Linked DNA regions of Elephas maximus indicus. The protein of the gene in region 1 interacts with the protein of each later gene in a pairwise test. Links are inferred from orthologs where the notes say so. Each region holds a gene or a part of one and is shown on either strand. Other genes may lie near its edges. The genes, in order: GFAP, PDLIM1 and PIAS2.

Region 1 (4,837 bases):
GGAGACCGCACACTGTGACTTGCCCAGCAACATGGAAGGGCAAGCCACCCTCCTCGCCACAGAAAATTGGGACAAGGATGAATAGCACAAGGATTCATCCGCAGTCTTGCTCTTCCTTTAAAGCCTCCATCTGTTCCCAGCTCCCCAGCCCAGCAGGATCAAAGGTCAGTGGGTGCCCCCTCCTAACGATGACCCTCCCCATGCTACTGGTCAAGACTCAGAGTTACATGTGGCTAGAGACTCAGGAACTCTCACCTCTGCCCCTCAGAGCTGGGACTCTCAGGGGAAGCCCTCATGTCTGGCCCTAGCAGGCAGCAAATACCCGGTGTGTGGTGGGGGGTATTACCCGGACAGAGGCTCAAGGGCCTGAGCTGGCTGAGAGCTGAGGAGGAGCGGGCAGCCTCCTCTGGCAAGCTGGAGACCTGGCAGTGCCGAGCTGGCCACCCCCAGGGCCTTTCCCTCATGCCCACTGGATGACTCACCTTGGCACAGACACAATGGTACGGGGTGGGCACAGAGCCTGCTTCCCGCTGCACCCAGCCCCCTCAGATGCTTTCCGAGAAACTCATTGAGCAGAGGGCTCAGGCTGCGCCCTGGCCTGACAGCCTGCCATCTTGGGAAAAAAGCAGCACAGCCCCCTGGGGGGCTGCCCTTGAAGTGTGGCACCCTCACCAGCAGTGGAGAACAAGGCTCCTTTCAGCAAGTGCCTGGGGAAAGGAATGGGAGGCCCAGGCATGGACAGTGGGCTATGGCGATGGGGGGGGGGGCATGGAGGGCTATCCGCTTCCCAGAGGTCCAAGGACACATATTGGCAAGGGGCTGGGCAGGGGGAAGAGGTGGACCTGGCTCCCGGCCTATACACAGTGGCTCCCGATTTCCCAAACTTACCCATCCCTGGAGGCTTTTCCCATCTTCCCAGCCTGATGTGTGGGAACTCAAAGGTGATACATCTCCAGCAGGAGAATGAGGGGGTGGCCAGGGAAACAGGGTGTCACAACAACAAAGATGTGAGCAGGGACAGCCAGGTCATTGGTAACTCCTTTGTGGAGCTGTCAAGGCTCAGGAAGGGAGTACAATGAGGCCAGGCGGGGTCTCAAGAGTGGCCCAGGGAGAGGGTCGGGAGTACAGTGTTGGGCCCTCTTCCATACCGGGATCCCCAAAGCCTCTTCTGTCAACCCCCAACTGCTAGATAGAGACTCAGCTGACCGTCCAAACAAAGGGCTGGAGTCCAGTCCAGCTCCCAGCCCCAGAACTCCTGGGAAGGGTGAGGAAGTGGGAATGGCAGATGTCTGTGTCCAGAGGGGAGGATGTCCAGGAAGCTGTCAGGAAGGGGGCTGGGTAGGAAACTGTAACATAAGCTGTTCCTTGAGAGTCTGGAACAGGTTTGTTATTCGCCAAATTCCCATCATCAAGCAGGCACTCGATGGGTGAGGGGATGCCTGGGTGATGGAATTTGAGAGTTAGAAGGTAGGTTAGATGTCCCCTGATTCAGCCCCTTCTTGACCCACCTTCCTAGAAAGGGGGTCTCCTTGTCCAGTGGCTAGGGCCCTAGACCCAGAACCTGGTCCCAGGCACTACCCATCAGTGCCCCTCCCTGACTGTGGCCCAGGCCAGGGCTGGCATGCCCAGGAAGCCCTGCCTCTGGGCACAGTGACCTCGGTGGGGTGAGAGGAGCTCTCCCCATGGCTGGGCTGCGGCCCAACCCCACCCCCTCAGGCCATGCCAAGCGGTGTTGCCAGGGCAGCCTGGGCAGTGCCAGGCCAGCCCACTCCTCCATAAAGCTCTCAGATGCCAGAAGCAGGCAGAGCCCGGCCCTGATGGAGCGGAGACGCATCACCTCGGCGGCCCGCCGCTCCTATGTCTCCTCCTCAGAGACCATGGTGGGGAGCCTGGGTCCCGGCCGCCGCCTGGGGCCTGGCACCCGCCTCTCTCTGGCCCGAATGCCCCCTCCACTCCCGACCCGGGTGGACTTCTCCCTGGCTGGGGCACTCAATGCCGGCTTCAAGGAGACACGGGCCAGCGAGCGGGCTGAGATGATGGAGCTCAATGACCGCTTTGCCAGCTACATTGAGAAAGTGCGCTTCCTGGAGCAGCAGAACAAGGCACTGGCTGCCGAGCTGAACCAGCTACGGGCCAAGGAGCCCACCAAGCTGGCCGATGTCTACCAGGCAGAACTGCGTGAGCTGCGGCTGCGGCTCGACCAGCTCACCGCCAACAGTGCCCGGCTCGAGGCGGAGAGGGACAACCTGGCGCAGGACCTGGGCACCCTGAGGCAGAAGTGAGGACGGGTACCGAAGAGAGGGGTTCTTGAGCAGGGGGACTGAGCTCCTGAGAGGGGTGCCACGGGCCTGCAAGGATCTTGGGTGCAGGGCTCTGCCTCCTTGCTCCCTGGGTTTCTCCACCTCTGGGACAAGAAGGCGATCCTTGTTCCACCATACAGTGGGAGGGACCAGGGAGAGGCCTAACACCTCAGAAGATCAGTCCAGGTACTCTTAGCACCTCCCAACCAGGGGAACGCATGGCAGAGACCTGAGTGGGTGGGGTCTTTCAGTTTCATCCACTGCTGGGCCTCCTGACTGCAGGCAGGGCGTTCGCCTTTTCTGAGCCTGGGTCTATATAGAGGAGGTGTGAAAAGGGGAGAAGGTGGGTGTCTACAAGGAGAATGGGGAGGGGAAGGAGGCAGGGGAAACTGCAGGCAGGCCTGGCTTCAGAACACACTCTGCCTATCATCACCTTGTGACCTTAAGCAAGCCACCTCAACCTGTGCAGCCTTGAAGTGGGGGTCATAATAAACCCTATTTCAATAGTTATTTGCCCAGGGTCTGAGAAGCCGCAGGGACACGATGTTTGCTGAGCTGGCAGGGCATGCAGGATGGCCTGCAAGTGCAGGAGGAGTGTGTGTTTGTGCACACAGCAGCAGCAGGTGCTGTGGATGTGCCTGCCTGAGCGGGAGCAGGTCCACCAACTCTGATAAGGCCCCTTGGTAATGAGTTAAAGCAAAGTCCCTGGACTGCTCACCCTGCTTGTCAAGTCCTCTGTCTAGGACCCCTCTGACCCTGGCTCTCCTGCCACTCTACCAGTCCTGGGAGCCTGGGGAGAGACCCGAGAGTCCTCAGAAGAGCTTGGACCCAGGAATGTGTCTTTCCCACCCCAGACTCCAGGACGAAACCAACCTGAGGCTGGATGCGGAGAATAATCTGGCTGCCTATCGACAGGTCAGGGAGGTGGAGGGGTGGGGCAGGGAGGAGGGATAGGCTTGCAGGCAGCCCACTCCAACAGAGCCCCCCCAGCCCAGCCCTCCAGAGCAATGTGCTGCTCCCCCCTGGTCCCCGAAGAAGGGATAAACAAGGCTGGGAAATGTGGAGGAAGAGTCTGGGGTCCAAGTGGCCCTTTGTCTCCTCCCCATTCCAGGAGGCAGATGAAGCCACCCTGGCCCGCTTAGATCTGGAGAGGAAGATTGAGTCACTGGAGGAGGAGATTCGGTTCCTGAGGAAGATCCATGAGGAGGTGAGGCCAGGGCAGAGGGAGGAGGGCCCAAAACAGAGACTGAAATGGACAGAGATGGAGAAAGACGCTCTGAGCCGTCATTTTGGTATTGACTGATAGAGAAACAGAATGAGAGAGAAACAGAGTGAGAGACAGAGAGACAGATACAGAGAGAGACTAAGAGAGAGAGACAGACAAGAGTATCCAACCCCTAGTAAAACGCACACACTCAACGCCCCAACTCCATTTACTGAGTGTTACGATGGGTCCTATTGCCTCATTTTTTTTTTTTTTCCTTCACAACAGCCCAATGAAGTAGAATCCATTCCAGTATCATCCCCTCTTCACAGATTAGGACACTGAGGTGCAGAGGGGTTAAGACACTTGGTAAGGTCACCTAGCTAGTTTGACTCCAACCCCCCTCTGCCATCTGTCTCCCTTAAAATGACAGCCACTTATAAGAACCCCTGAGCTCTGGCCTCAGATCATAGATTCAGAATCCATGTTGCCATGGAATCAGGAACACAGGCACCCCCATTCACAGAAATATAGTCACTGTCCCCCAAGAATGCAGGCACACTCTCAGAGCCAGCTCCGGCCTGTCCAGCTCTGGGAAGAGGACACCATGAAGCCCCAAACCATCCCGTGTCTCCCTTAGCCTGGGCCGTGCCACTTTCTCCAACTAGGGCTGCCCCAATTCCCTTAGCTGTGTCCATGTCCAAGAGGGCATGATGCTGCAGGAAACCCTGGCTGTCGCCTGAGTCCTAAGCCCTGGGACTTTTCTCACGCTGGCCAGGAGGTACGGGAGCTCCAGGAGCAGCTGGCCCAGCAGCAGGTCCACGTGGAGGTGGACACGGCCAAGCCAGACCTCACAGCGGCCTTGAGAGAGATCCGCACGCAGTACGAGGCAGTGGCATCCAGCAACATGCATGAGGCAGAGGAGTGGTACCGGTCCAAGGTAGCCTAACTGTGGGCAAGCCTGTCTCCTCCAGGCAGCTCTCCTTGTACCATACGGGAGAATTGGGAGGGAGGATGCAGGAAGGTGGGAAAGGATCTTCTCTGGGTTACTGACCTCTGGAGAAATGAAGTGACTTGTCCAGGGTCACACAGGCACTACTACCTCCAATAAGTAAAACAAAACAAAAACCAGACCCATTGCCGTTGGTGGATTCTGACTCATAGTGACCCTATAGGACAGGGAAGAACTGCCCCATAGGGTTTCCAAGGAGCACCTGGTAGATTTGAACTGTTGACCTTTGGTTATCAGCCAAACTCTTAACCACTACGCTACCAGGGTTTCCTCTGAGAACTTATTATTGCGTGCCAGGCCCTGTCCTAAGTGCTTTGCATG
Region 2 (4,837 bases), on another chromosome or scaffold:
GTACAGAACAAGCATGTATTGGCATCTGCTATGGAGTCCCTGGGTGTCACAAAGCACACAACTACTAGCTCAACTACTCCTCACTACTAGCTGAAAGGTAGGCAGTAGGAGCCCACCCACAGGCACCTCAGAAGACAGCCCTGGCAATTTGCTTCTGAAAAGTCACAGCCTGGAAAACCCTATGGAGCAGTTCTACTCTGCACAGGTGGAGTCCCATCAGTTTGAATGAACTCTGTGACAACAACTATGTTTCAGGTCCATGTGAGGTCCAGGACACCTGGGGATGAATGCCAGGCAGTCCTCCCCTTAGGGAGCGTACAGCTGTGGCTTTTCAACGTTCTTTTCCTACAAGGATACATAATATTGAAAACTACTCTGCATCTAAGGGCAGAATCAAAATTTGTTGATTGCCCTTAAAATTTGGCAGGGACTTGAAACACTAGCATGTTTGCTAAGTAACGGGATCTTAATGAAAGAGGATGCAATTTTGGTGTTGGTGGTTGGTTACTGGTTGTAACTCTACGCCTTTTTTCTCAGATTAAAGAAAGAATACGTCAACCCAAAAAGCAAACCAGTTGCCACTGAATTGATTCCAACTCATGGTGATCCCACATATTGCAGAGAACTGCTCCACAGGGTTTTCACGGCTGTGACCTTTCAGAAGACTTCCAGGCCTCTTTCAAGGTTTATGTCCAAACCTCACGCTGTTGAGTTGATTCGGACTCATAGCGACTCTATAAGACAGAGTAGAACTGCCCCATAGGGTTTCGAAGGTCGTCTGCCACATCGTTCTTCTGTGGAGTGGCTAGTAGGTTCAAACAGTTGGCCTTTTAGTTAGCAGCCCTGTGCTTGATCACTGAAGCATCAGGTAGTAATAAACGCAATGGAGAAAAATAAAGCAGGGAAAGCTGAAGGAATTTTTGTGTGCCCTCAAGTGGATTCCAACTCATAGCGATCCTACAACAGAGAGTAGAAGTTGCCCACGCTGTAATCTTTATGGGACTAATAGCCAGGTTTTTCTCCTGTGGACCCACTACAGCGTTTGTAATCACCCCCGCCCCTTTCCGTGAGCAGGCGAGGGCTTAACCATTGCGTCACCAGGGCTCCCTTCTAGAGAAAAAAAAAAAAGAGAGTAAGTTTTAAATAGGTGCTTAGAGCAGGTTTCACTGAGAGGAGAACAAGAACAAAGAGATAACCCTGGGGGTGTCTGGGAGAAGGGCACTCCAGACAGATGGAGAATGCAAGGCCCTGAAAGAGAGTAAAGAGGACAGTGTGGTTGGAGCCAGGGAGCCTGTAGCAGCAGGAAGTGAGGTCAGAGAGGTAGTTGTGACTGATCCTATGAGAGTTTTAAGGATTAGGGCTTTTACTCTGAGGAAGGTGGGGAGTCAGAAGAATGCAGTCTAGGGGGAGGAGGGCAGGGAGCCCAGATAGAGGGCTAGTGTCAGGCTGGGAACCCAGGTCCTCTGACTCAGCCCAGTGCCCTTTCCATGCACTTAGCACTTGGCCTGCCCCAGACTTGAGGTATAAATCGTCCATGAACTAACTGTTGAGAAGGTGGGAACCTAGGGGAACTCCAGCCTGGAGGAAAGGTTTCCAGGCAGATCCCACCCAACCCAGTGATCAGGAAGTCCAATTATAAAATCGTGCTATGGCCTTATTAGCATTAGAATAGTCCCTGTGTGGAGCTGTCTAGCTCAGGACTCTGGGTCAGTGGTCCGAACACACCACTTTGTGGCCTCAGGCAAGTCTTCTAACCTCAGGCGGACTCAGTTACTTCATCTGTAAAATGGGACTAAAGGCCCTTAACTGCCTCTTAGCATCCAATGAGATCATACGAAAGCTCTTTTTAAACATCATTATCGTTTACAAAATGCAAGTAGAAAACTGGAGCTGACTTCAGAGGATTGACTTTGCACATTTTAAAACTGTTTTAAAAAGGACCAAATACATATTTATCTCCTCCGCGGTGAGTCGGCACCAGCCCTCTCACCTAGCACCGGCAGCGGGGCTGAGAGCGGCGGGGCTGGGTGGGGACAGGAGCGAGGTGGTGCTGGGGTCCCGCGCAGAGCCAGAGCTCTTTCTGTCCGACTCCGGCCGTGTCCTCAGCCGGCGCGCGGGGCGGGGAGCGACTGCAGGGTGCGGAGAGGGGACAGGCGGGGCGCGCGGCAGCGACGCGGACTGGGCGGAGTCGCCCGCGCCCTCCCTCCTCCCGCCTTGGTCCCAAGCCGCTGGCTCCGCGCCGCGCGCTCTTTCTCCGACAGCTGCCCCGGGAGCCCAGTCCTACCCCGTCTGTCTCGCCCGCTGCCGCCGCGCCATGACCACCCAGCAGATAGTCCTCCAGGGCCCGGGACCATGGGGCTTCCGCCTCGTGGGGGGCAAGGACTTCGAGCAGCCGCTCGCCATTTCCCGGGTAAGAGCAGCCTGGGACGCGCGCGAAAGCAGGACGCTCCTGGGCAAGAGGGCGGCGCGCCCCGGCGTCCTGGGGAGCCTGGGTCTCCGCGGGCGCTATCGGGGACGGCAGCTTTGGGCGCCGGGGACGGGAGCCGGGACCGAGCGGCGAGTCCAGGTGTGCCGGGTACACCACGCGCTAAGCGCTCTCCGCGCGCCTTGGAAGGGCAGCTCCCGTCGCTCTTTCCCTGGCGCTGCGTTCCCGAGCGAGCCGGCAGGTGGCCGGGCGTACACTTATGGGGTCCGCTAGAAAGAAGAGGGCAGTTTTCGTTCCTCCTCCCCGGAAGCGCAGCTCCTCGTGTGGGCGCGCCTTGTGAACCCGCGAGGGCATGAGGGTCCCCCAAGATCGCGCACGCTAGGAGATGGGCCTTCCCGGCTCTTAAGACTCAGGGCGGCAGAAAGCAGTTTGGAAGCAGCAGGAAAGACCTGGAAAGTGAGGTGGAATGGGTGGAAAGTTTACTGTGTGGCGTGTGGGGTTAACAAAACAACAACCGAAACAACTAGTTTTCCACTCTCGGGACTTGATCCATAGCCCGGTCTGCCATTCGGAGAAAAGCAGAGTATTGGAAACAAACAAACTAACCCCAGATAAGCTTCTTGGTCATTCTTTCCTGCGGGTGGTGGCCATTACGTCTTTCCACCAGCCATTCCCGAATTATCATCCCCAGGGGATGAAGGAGTTGGTACTGGGGTGGGGTGGGATTCCCACCCCGTGTGTTTGGGGGTGTTCTTGAAAACTTCGGGGGGCTCATGTGTTTGGAAGGGCCCAGGCTCGATCTGGGACCACCAGACCCATCACCCCCAAATAAAGTGGCAACCCTAGGGAGACCCAGATCAGAGACGGGAGTGTGTAGGCTCAGGCTTTGGCCGTCTGTTGTTAGGTGTTGTCAAGACGATTTCCACTCAAAGCGACCCCATATGACTATGGTCACAGCCTAGAACTGCCTTATAGGGTTTTCTAGTCTGTAGTCTTTGCCAGAGCAGATCGCCAGGTCTTTCTCTGGAGGAGCAGCAGGGTAGGTGTGTTCAAACCAACAACCTTTTGTTATCAAGCTCTTAACTGTTGGCTGTCTAGCGTGGTCCAAACACAGCTGATGTCCCACTGCAAGTTGCCACATTCAGTGCCTGTGCCTAGAAGGCATAATGAATGTTTTTTGATTGAAGAAAGGGAACAGAAGCCCACCCTTTGGCAGCTATGCCCTGCCTGGAGGCCCCTTTGGGCCCATCTGAGTCAGAGGCACAGCTCAAACTTGCTCCCCGACCCCCCTCCCATCTTCTAAATACTCCTCTTCCTTGAATAGTCTGGGAAGGTGCCTGTAGGTCATTTTGACTTAAGTCCCTGCCTCCAGCAGCTGAAGGAGTATGGAAGGAGGTACAGGAGGAGAGGAGGCCTTCTCTGCCAGTCCCAATCCTACCCCCCAATCTTTCCAGGTGGGCCTTGCCATGTCGGGAGGTCTCCTCTGACTATTCCATTCCCAAAAGCAGGTGTCCTAATTCTTGGCCCTGTCGGTCACCTGCACACCTTGTCCTACTGGACTTCCTTGATTATTCTCACAAGTCCACGCAGTCTTCCCAGCCACCAGCCGAATTCCTCAATCGCAGGAACTATGCCTTCCCCACATGGAGACCTCCGCCCCCGAGCCTGGCACAGAGTGAAATCTGGCAGTGTGGGTGAATCCTTGTGGCTTATTAATAAATGCTTGCCCTGGGTAGGCATTGCCTCTGCACATTTAGACTCGCTTACCTCATAGTCCATTTGCCCCTGCTCTTTGTGTCTATAATTAACCCGTCAGCTCTCTCCACTTCGGAGATTTATATATGACGTGAAACCTTTTTTTAAGTAGTAGAGGATGTATGGGCAATCTGTTAAAAGGGCAGATACCGCCTGTCATTTTAGCTGCCTTAAAAAATCTTAAGGCAAGTGGCACTGTGCAGGAATGATGGCATGGTGTGGAACACCAGACTCTGAATGCATTTGTTTGTACCTTCATGTATTCATTCGTTCATCAGCACATGCTTAATGAGCAGGTGCTATGTGCTACTGTGCAAAACCTTAAAAACCAAAACAAACCAGTTACTGTTGAGTGGATTCTGACTCTTGGTTGCCTCATATGTGTCAGAGTAAACTCTGCTTCATAGGGTTTTCACAGCTGTGGTCCTTCAGAAGCTAATTGCCAGGCCTTTCTTCCCATGATCCTCTGTTTGGGTTTGAAGTGCCAACCTTCCGGTTAGCAGCCGAGCGCTTACCTCCCAGAGGCCTTATACAAAGCCTTAAAGCCCCAAAACCAAACCATTGCCGTCGAGTCGATTCCGACTCACAGCGACCCTATAGGACAAAGTAGACCCGCGCCATAGAGTTTCCAAGGAGCGCCTGGTGGATTTGAACTGC
Region 3 (4,837 bases), on another chromosome or scaffold:
AATTGACTGTACCCTATACTTACCGTGGATAAATGCTATCAAGGAAAAGTTCAGGGTACTATGAGAGGTCATGAGAGGGATATGAATTAAAATGGGGCTAGGGAAGGTCTTTCTGAAGAAGTGACACTTCAACTGAGACCTGAAAGATTTACAGAAGTTCGAAAAGAGGATGAAAGTGGGAAATTATTCTTGGCCCAGGGATTTGCATTCACAGGTTAAAACATAGGGAAAAAAAGTCTGGTGGAGGAACTGAAACATGGGCAGTGTTTCTGGAGTGAGGGGGAGTGGGAAGTAGCTAGACAGGAGACAGATTCAACACGGCTCTTTGTAAGTTCCACTAAGTTTTCAAGGCCTTCCTTGGATGGGTTCCACCCACATCTTCAAGAAAATTTGAACTCTGGGCTCAGTTCAGAGAATTTTCGGATACCAGCTTGACTCAGCATCCTCTTTGTCTCTCATCCTTTCATCAGCATGTTAGGGGTGCCATCAAGCTTCCTTCCAGCTCCTCTGCCATGGCATTAGTTCTTCCCTAGCTATCTGATTTCCCTGACCCCTCAACTTTTTATCAGGGCCCTTCTGAGCGCTCTCTTATTTCACTTCCACTCTCCCCTCACCCCCCAGAGTCTCAATTGTGCAGTCCATGACATTCCCTCGCCCTTCAAAGGCTGGGCCAGGTTCCTACTTGAGGATGTTAGCAGTTTAAAGAGATCTCCCCAATCCTGTACCGTTAGATACAACAATAGCTTACCCAACACCCATATTCAGATTGTTCCGCCACGACTACTCTGAGGAATGCTTTTATTGCAGCTGCTTCCTCGGTCCACAGCCACTGCGTGGAAGGACACCATAAGAATTCTGCCGAACTGCTCCTGTCACAAGTCCCGTCCATCTCTTCCTCTCTGCCACTTCCCCGGGCCAGATCCTCCTTAAGCCTGCCGGTAAGGCTGCAGTCGCTGCTGCGTTTCACGGAGTCGGGACCGGCGTCGCGATGTGGAGGGAAGTGACAACGAGGGCTGAGGAAGGCAAGGCGACAGAACCAGACGCAAGAAGACGTGCGGGTCGCAGGAGAGAGAGGGATCTAACGCGAAGAGAGCCGCGCGCAAGAGCGTGGGAGAAGGCGCGGGCGGAAGGCGGTGGCCGGGCTGGGCAGGGGAGACCGGGGGCGGGGCAGCGGCGCGCCGGGGGCGGAGCTCCCGTGCCAGTCACGTGAGGGTCCCGGCGGCGTCGGCGGCGACGGCGGCGGCTGTGGCCGCGGCGTCTTTAGCGGCGCCCAGTGCAGGATGGTGCTGGAAGCGGCGGCGGCGGCCCTGGTGGCGGCGGCGTTGTTGGCGGCAGTGGGAGGGGGTGCTGTGGTAGCAGTAGCGGCAGCGTCCGCGGCTGGTATAAAATGGCGGATTTCGAAGAGTTGAGGGTAAGCAGGGGCCAGGAGTGGAGCGCAGAGGCCGGGGGGAGGGGAGGCGGGGAAGCCGCAACGTCGTCTGCTGCCACCTTCTCGTTGCCGGGACCGGTTGGCCGACCCCGACTCCCGGCGCGCGTCCGAGCCGGCGCCCAAGTGGGCGGGGGAGGGGAGCGAGTCGGCGGAGGACGCCTGGGCCTTGCGGGTGCTGTGGGCCTGGGGCCGAGGGCGAGCCCGCCTCTGGGTCCTGTTGGCGAATCCAGGCACCTGGCGCGGGGGTAGGGGCCGCCCTGGGGAGGGGCACGTGGGACCCGACTTCCCCGTTTAAGGTCTGAGGTAAAAAACAGCGTTTTATTTTCCACCTTCGCAAGGGGTGTACGTGTCTATGGCGATTGAGAAGTCTACATGCCACTTACTTGGAGGAAGACTATTTTCTGAAAGGTGAAGTTGCGCTCGAGAATGTTTCTCTCCTCTCTGTGGCTGATGATACCGTGTAGTCAGGTCTGTCACAAGAAAAGGCCCCTTCCTCCAACCAGTGTTTCCTCCACATATTGGAAGCGTGATCTTTTGGGAGCCTTGCCTTCAGTAATCGATATTTTCTTGGTACCATGGTAAGAAATCTAGAAAGTCTGTGTTGTCATGAGTTTTTTTTTTTTTTTTGTCAGTGAATTTGCTTTGCTCTTGAGGAAAAAAAAATTTTTTTCCTAGCCTTAGAGCAAGGTCATAACTTGATAGTTATCTTTGTATAGTAGACATTTGTAATGGAGTATAATGGAGGTTAGCAGAATTTTTTTTTTTTTCCTTCAGACTGATAACCTTCAGAGTCCTTAACTGAAAGAAAACTAAGTGTGACAAATGAGCCGGATTTATTTTTTATGGTCGCTATGTTTTTTTTTATGTCCGGGTTTATGTAAATAGAATATGTAAGGACGGGAACCCTGATACTTAAAAATATATATTTCAAAATAGGAATGAATGTCAACTTTAAGTTAACTGCAGCCAGTTTGCGTAACATAGACTATGATGTTAGGGTTACTTTTTTGGAATAAGAAGGAAGAAGAATCTGTTAAAAGAGTCAGTTTTGTATGTTACTTTTCGGTGAGGGATCTGGTGGAGGAAAGTCATTTGTTACCTGGCTAGTAACTTACAGAAGAACATATTCTTGGTTTTGGTCGAAAGGAGATTGTTGTAGTTTACATAATGCCTGCCATTTGTCCCCCACCGCCCGCCCCCCCCAAAAGGAATTAGAATGCAGTAGAAAAGCCATGTTCATGCATTTTATGATGGTGTAGTGGTTAAGTGCGACGGCTGCTAACCAAAGGGTTGGCAGTTCAGATCCGCCAGGGGCTCCTTGGAAACTCTATGGGGCAGTTCTGCTCTGTCCTGTAGGGTCGCTGTGAGTTGTAATCCACTCGACGGCGCTGGTTTTGGTTTTTGGACTAGTTTATATAGAGGACCATGATAAGAAAAGGATGTTCATATTGCCAAGTTCAAGTAAGGGTTTTAGTGGCTGATGAACCTCAGGTTGGAGGTTTTAACACCTGTAGAGCTTTTGAAAAAACCATGCTTGAGCTTCACTTCTGTAAATCCATGTATTAGGTTTAGAAGACTGCATTTTGAAATTATTCTCACCTGCGGTAGTAATTTTTGTGTAGTGACAAATATTTGCAAATTTTTCTCTTCCTATTATTTTTATTGATGAGAACTTTTCCAGAACTTGTGTTAGACTTTTATAAATGTTGTTGAAGCTTAACAAAAAAGCAGAGGATTTATTTACCAGTACAGGGCAGAAACGGTGCTTACATTGGAGTGGAACCAGGAACTGGAAAGTGGTCAGAAACCAAAGAAACTTTTCTCCCTCTTTCTTTCTCTCCATTTTGTTGTGTGGATCAGCTGTCTTTGCTTCTCCCTGCACTTGATAGAAGATGGCCCTTCCCTTACAGTTGACTTCAGGTGACCGACAGAGACTAACCAGGGAGAGTTCTCAGAGGAGGGGAGGATATGGGCTGGGCAGATGCTTGAAAAGTTATCCATGTTCATCTTTGCCTTAGCCACTTTAGCAGCTGTGATGGTTAAGGTTATGTGTCAACTTGGCTAGGCCATGATTCCCAGTGGTTTGGCAGGTATTATGTAATTATTCTCCATTTTGCGATATGATGTGAACAGCCAGTTTGTTGAAAGACCATTCAGTCGAAAGCCAATCAGTTTCCTTAGGGGCGCAGCCTGCAGCCAGTATGTATATATGAATGTTCTGGCAAAACTCTCTCTTGGATCCTGTATCCTATCGGTCATCCTCTGACTTCTGTTCTTGGGACGTGAGCCAGCAACTTGCTGCCCGATCTGCAGATCTTGGGATTCCTTAGCTCCCGCAGCCATGTGAGCCAGCAGCCTTCCGCCTGACCTTCCAATTTTGGGTTTGTTGGCTACCGCAACCACGTGAGTCAGGAGAAGCCTTTAGTCTGATGCTTGACCCATGGGTTTGGGACTTGTCAACTTCTACAACTGCGTGAGCCGTTTTCTTGAGATAAATTTATATATATATATATATATATATATATATATATATGCGTGCTTCATTGGTTTTTCTTCTCTGGAGAAAAACGTTTGGTACTGAGAGTGGTTCTAGAGGGGAAATTCATAAGGAGGATGAGTTTTCTGAATTGTTTCTCAAGCCTGGCTAGCCTTAAAGGTGCTGATGACTGTCTCTAGTAGTAAAGAGGACACTGTTAATCCATGGCATGAGGTGGCCATAGAAATACACAAAATAACATCACCCATGGTAAAGTATTTGTGAGAGATAAGGTTCTGGGTGATCGCATATTTGATATTTTTCTACGGTTTCATCCAAATGAGAAGTATAAGCTGGTTGGTCGGTCGTGGTTTTGCTGGACAAAGTGGTGAAAGAACGAGTTGAGCTCAGGGCTTCAGAGTCACAGCTTAAAAAAAAATAAGTGCCATATAAAAGACCTGAAAGTTCCCACTTGAGCCCTGAAAGAAATCACCTTTCTTGTAGTAACAGAGCTGATGCTGCCAAAAGCCAAACCCAGAGTCTTAAGAGTGTCTGAATTACAATGCCAGTTGAATTTGTAACCTTGAATGATGTCTGAAATTAAAGTGAGGACACTGACTGGGAAGAAATGGGATCCCAAAAAGTGGGATGGGGCACATTGGTAGATAATCAGGAAGCTGGGGACATTGAGCCCCTAAATTCCATTAAATCACTCCTGCCAACAGAACTAGCCCTCTTACTCCCATCTGAAGAGATTCCGCCATCTTTGTTTGCTAAGCTCCCTTCCTTAGTTAAACCATTATCCCTTCCACCCCCATCTGTTGAGTTAACCCAGCTGTGTCTGAAGAGCTGTTGAGATACTGCCGGCGGCGTTGCCTAAGACAGATGCCTTACAAAACATTGCTGAATGTTCCCCAAACCACCCCTGCCAG

The links.
Region 2: the proteins of GFAP (region 1) and PDLIM1 interact in binary tests that used the Homo sapiens proteins (3 or more experiments, as listed by UniProt). The link is inferred for Elephas maximus indicus from reciprocal best matches to the Homo sapiens genes GFAP and PDLIM1.
Region 3: the proteins of GFAP (region 1) and PIAS2 interact in binary tests that used the Homo sapiens proteins (3 or more experiments, as listed by UniProt). The two-hybrid records come from large-scale screens. The link is inferred for Elephas maximus indicus from reciprocal best matches to the Homo sapiens genes GFAP and PIAS2.

The regions. Positions count from the first base shown.
Region 1 is NC_064837.1:51,332,220-51,337,056, reverse strand, and holds the start of GFAP (glial fibrillary acidic protein), read left to right. Parts: upstream 1-1,428; 5' UTR 1,429-1,682; coding exon 1,683-2,278; intron 2,279-3,154; coding exon 3,155-3,215; intron 3,216-3,411; coding exon 3,412-3,507; intron 3,508-4,282; coding exon 4,283-4,444; intron 4,445-4,837.
Region 2 is NC_064834.1:47,035,635-47,040,471, reverse strand, and holds the start of PDLIM1 (PDZ and LIM domain protein 1), read left to right. Parts: upstream 1-2,196; 5' UTR 2,197-2,314; coding exon 2,315-2,410; intron 2,411-4,837. UniProt on the Homo sapiens protein: Cytoskeletal protein that may act as an adapter that brings other proteins (like kinases) to the cytoskeleton. Involved in assembly, disassembly and directioning of stress fibers in fibroblasts.
Region 3 is NC_064829.1:55,599,193-55,604,029, reverse strand, and holds the start of PIAS2 (E3 SUMO-protein ligase PIAS2), read left to right. Parts: upstream 1-1,212; 5' UTR 1,213-1,387; coding exon 1,388-1,411; intron 1,412-1,855; exon of another isoform or gene 1,856-2,004; coding exon of another isoform or gene 2,005-2,007; intron 2,008-4,837. UniProt on the Homo sapiens protein: Functions as an E3-type small ubiquitin-like modifier (SUMO) ligase, stabilizing the interaction between UBE2I and the substrate, and as a SUMO-tethering factor.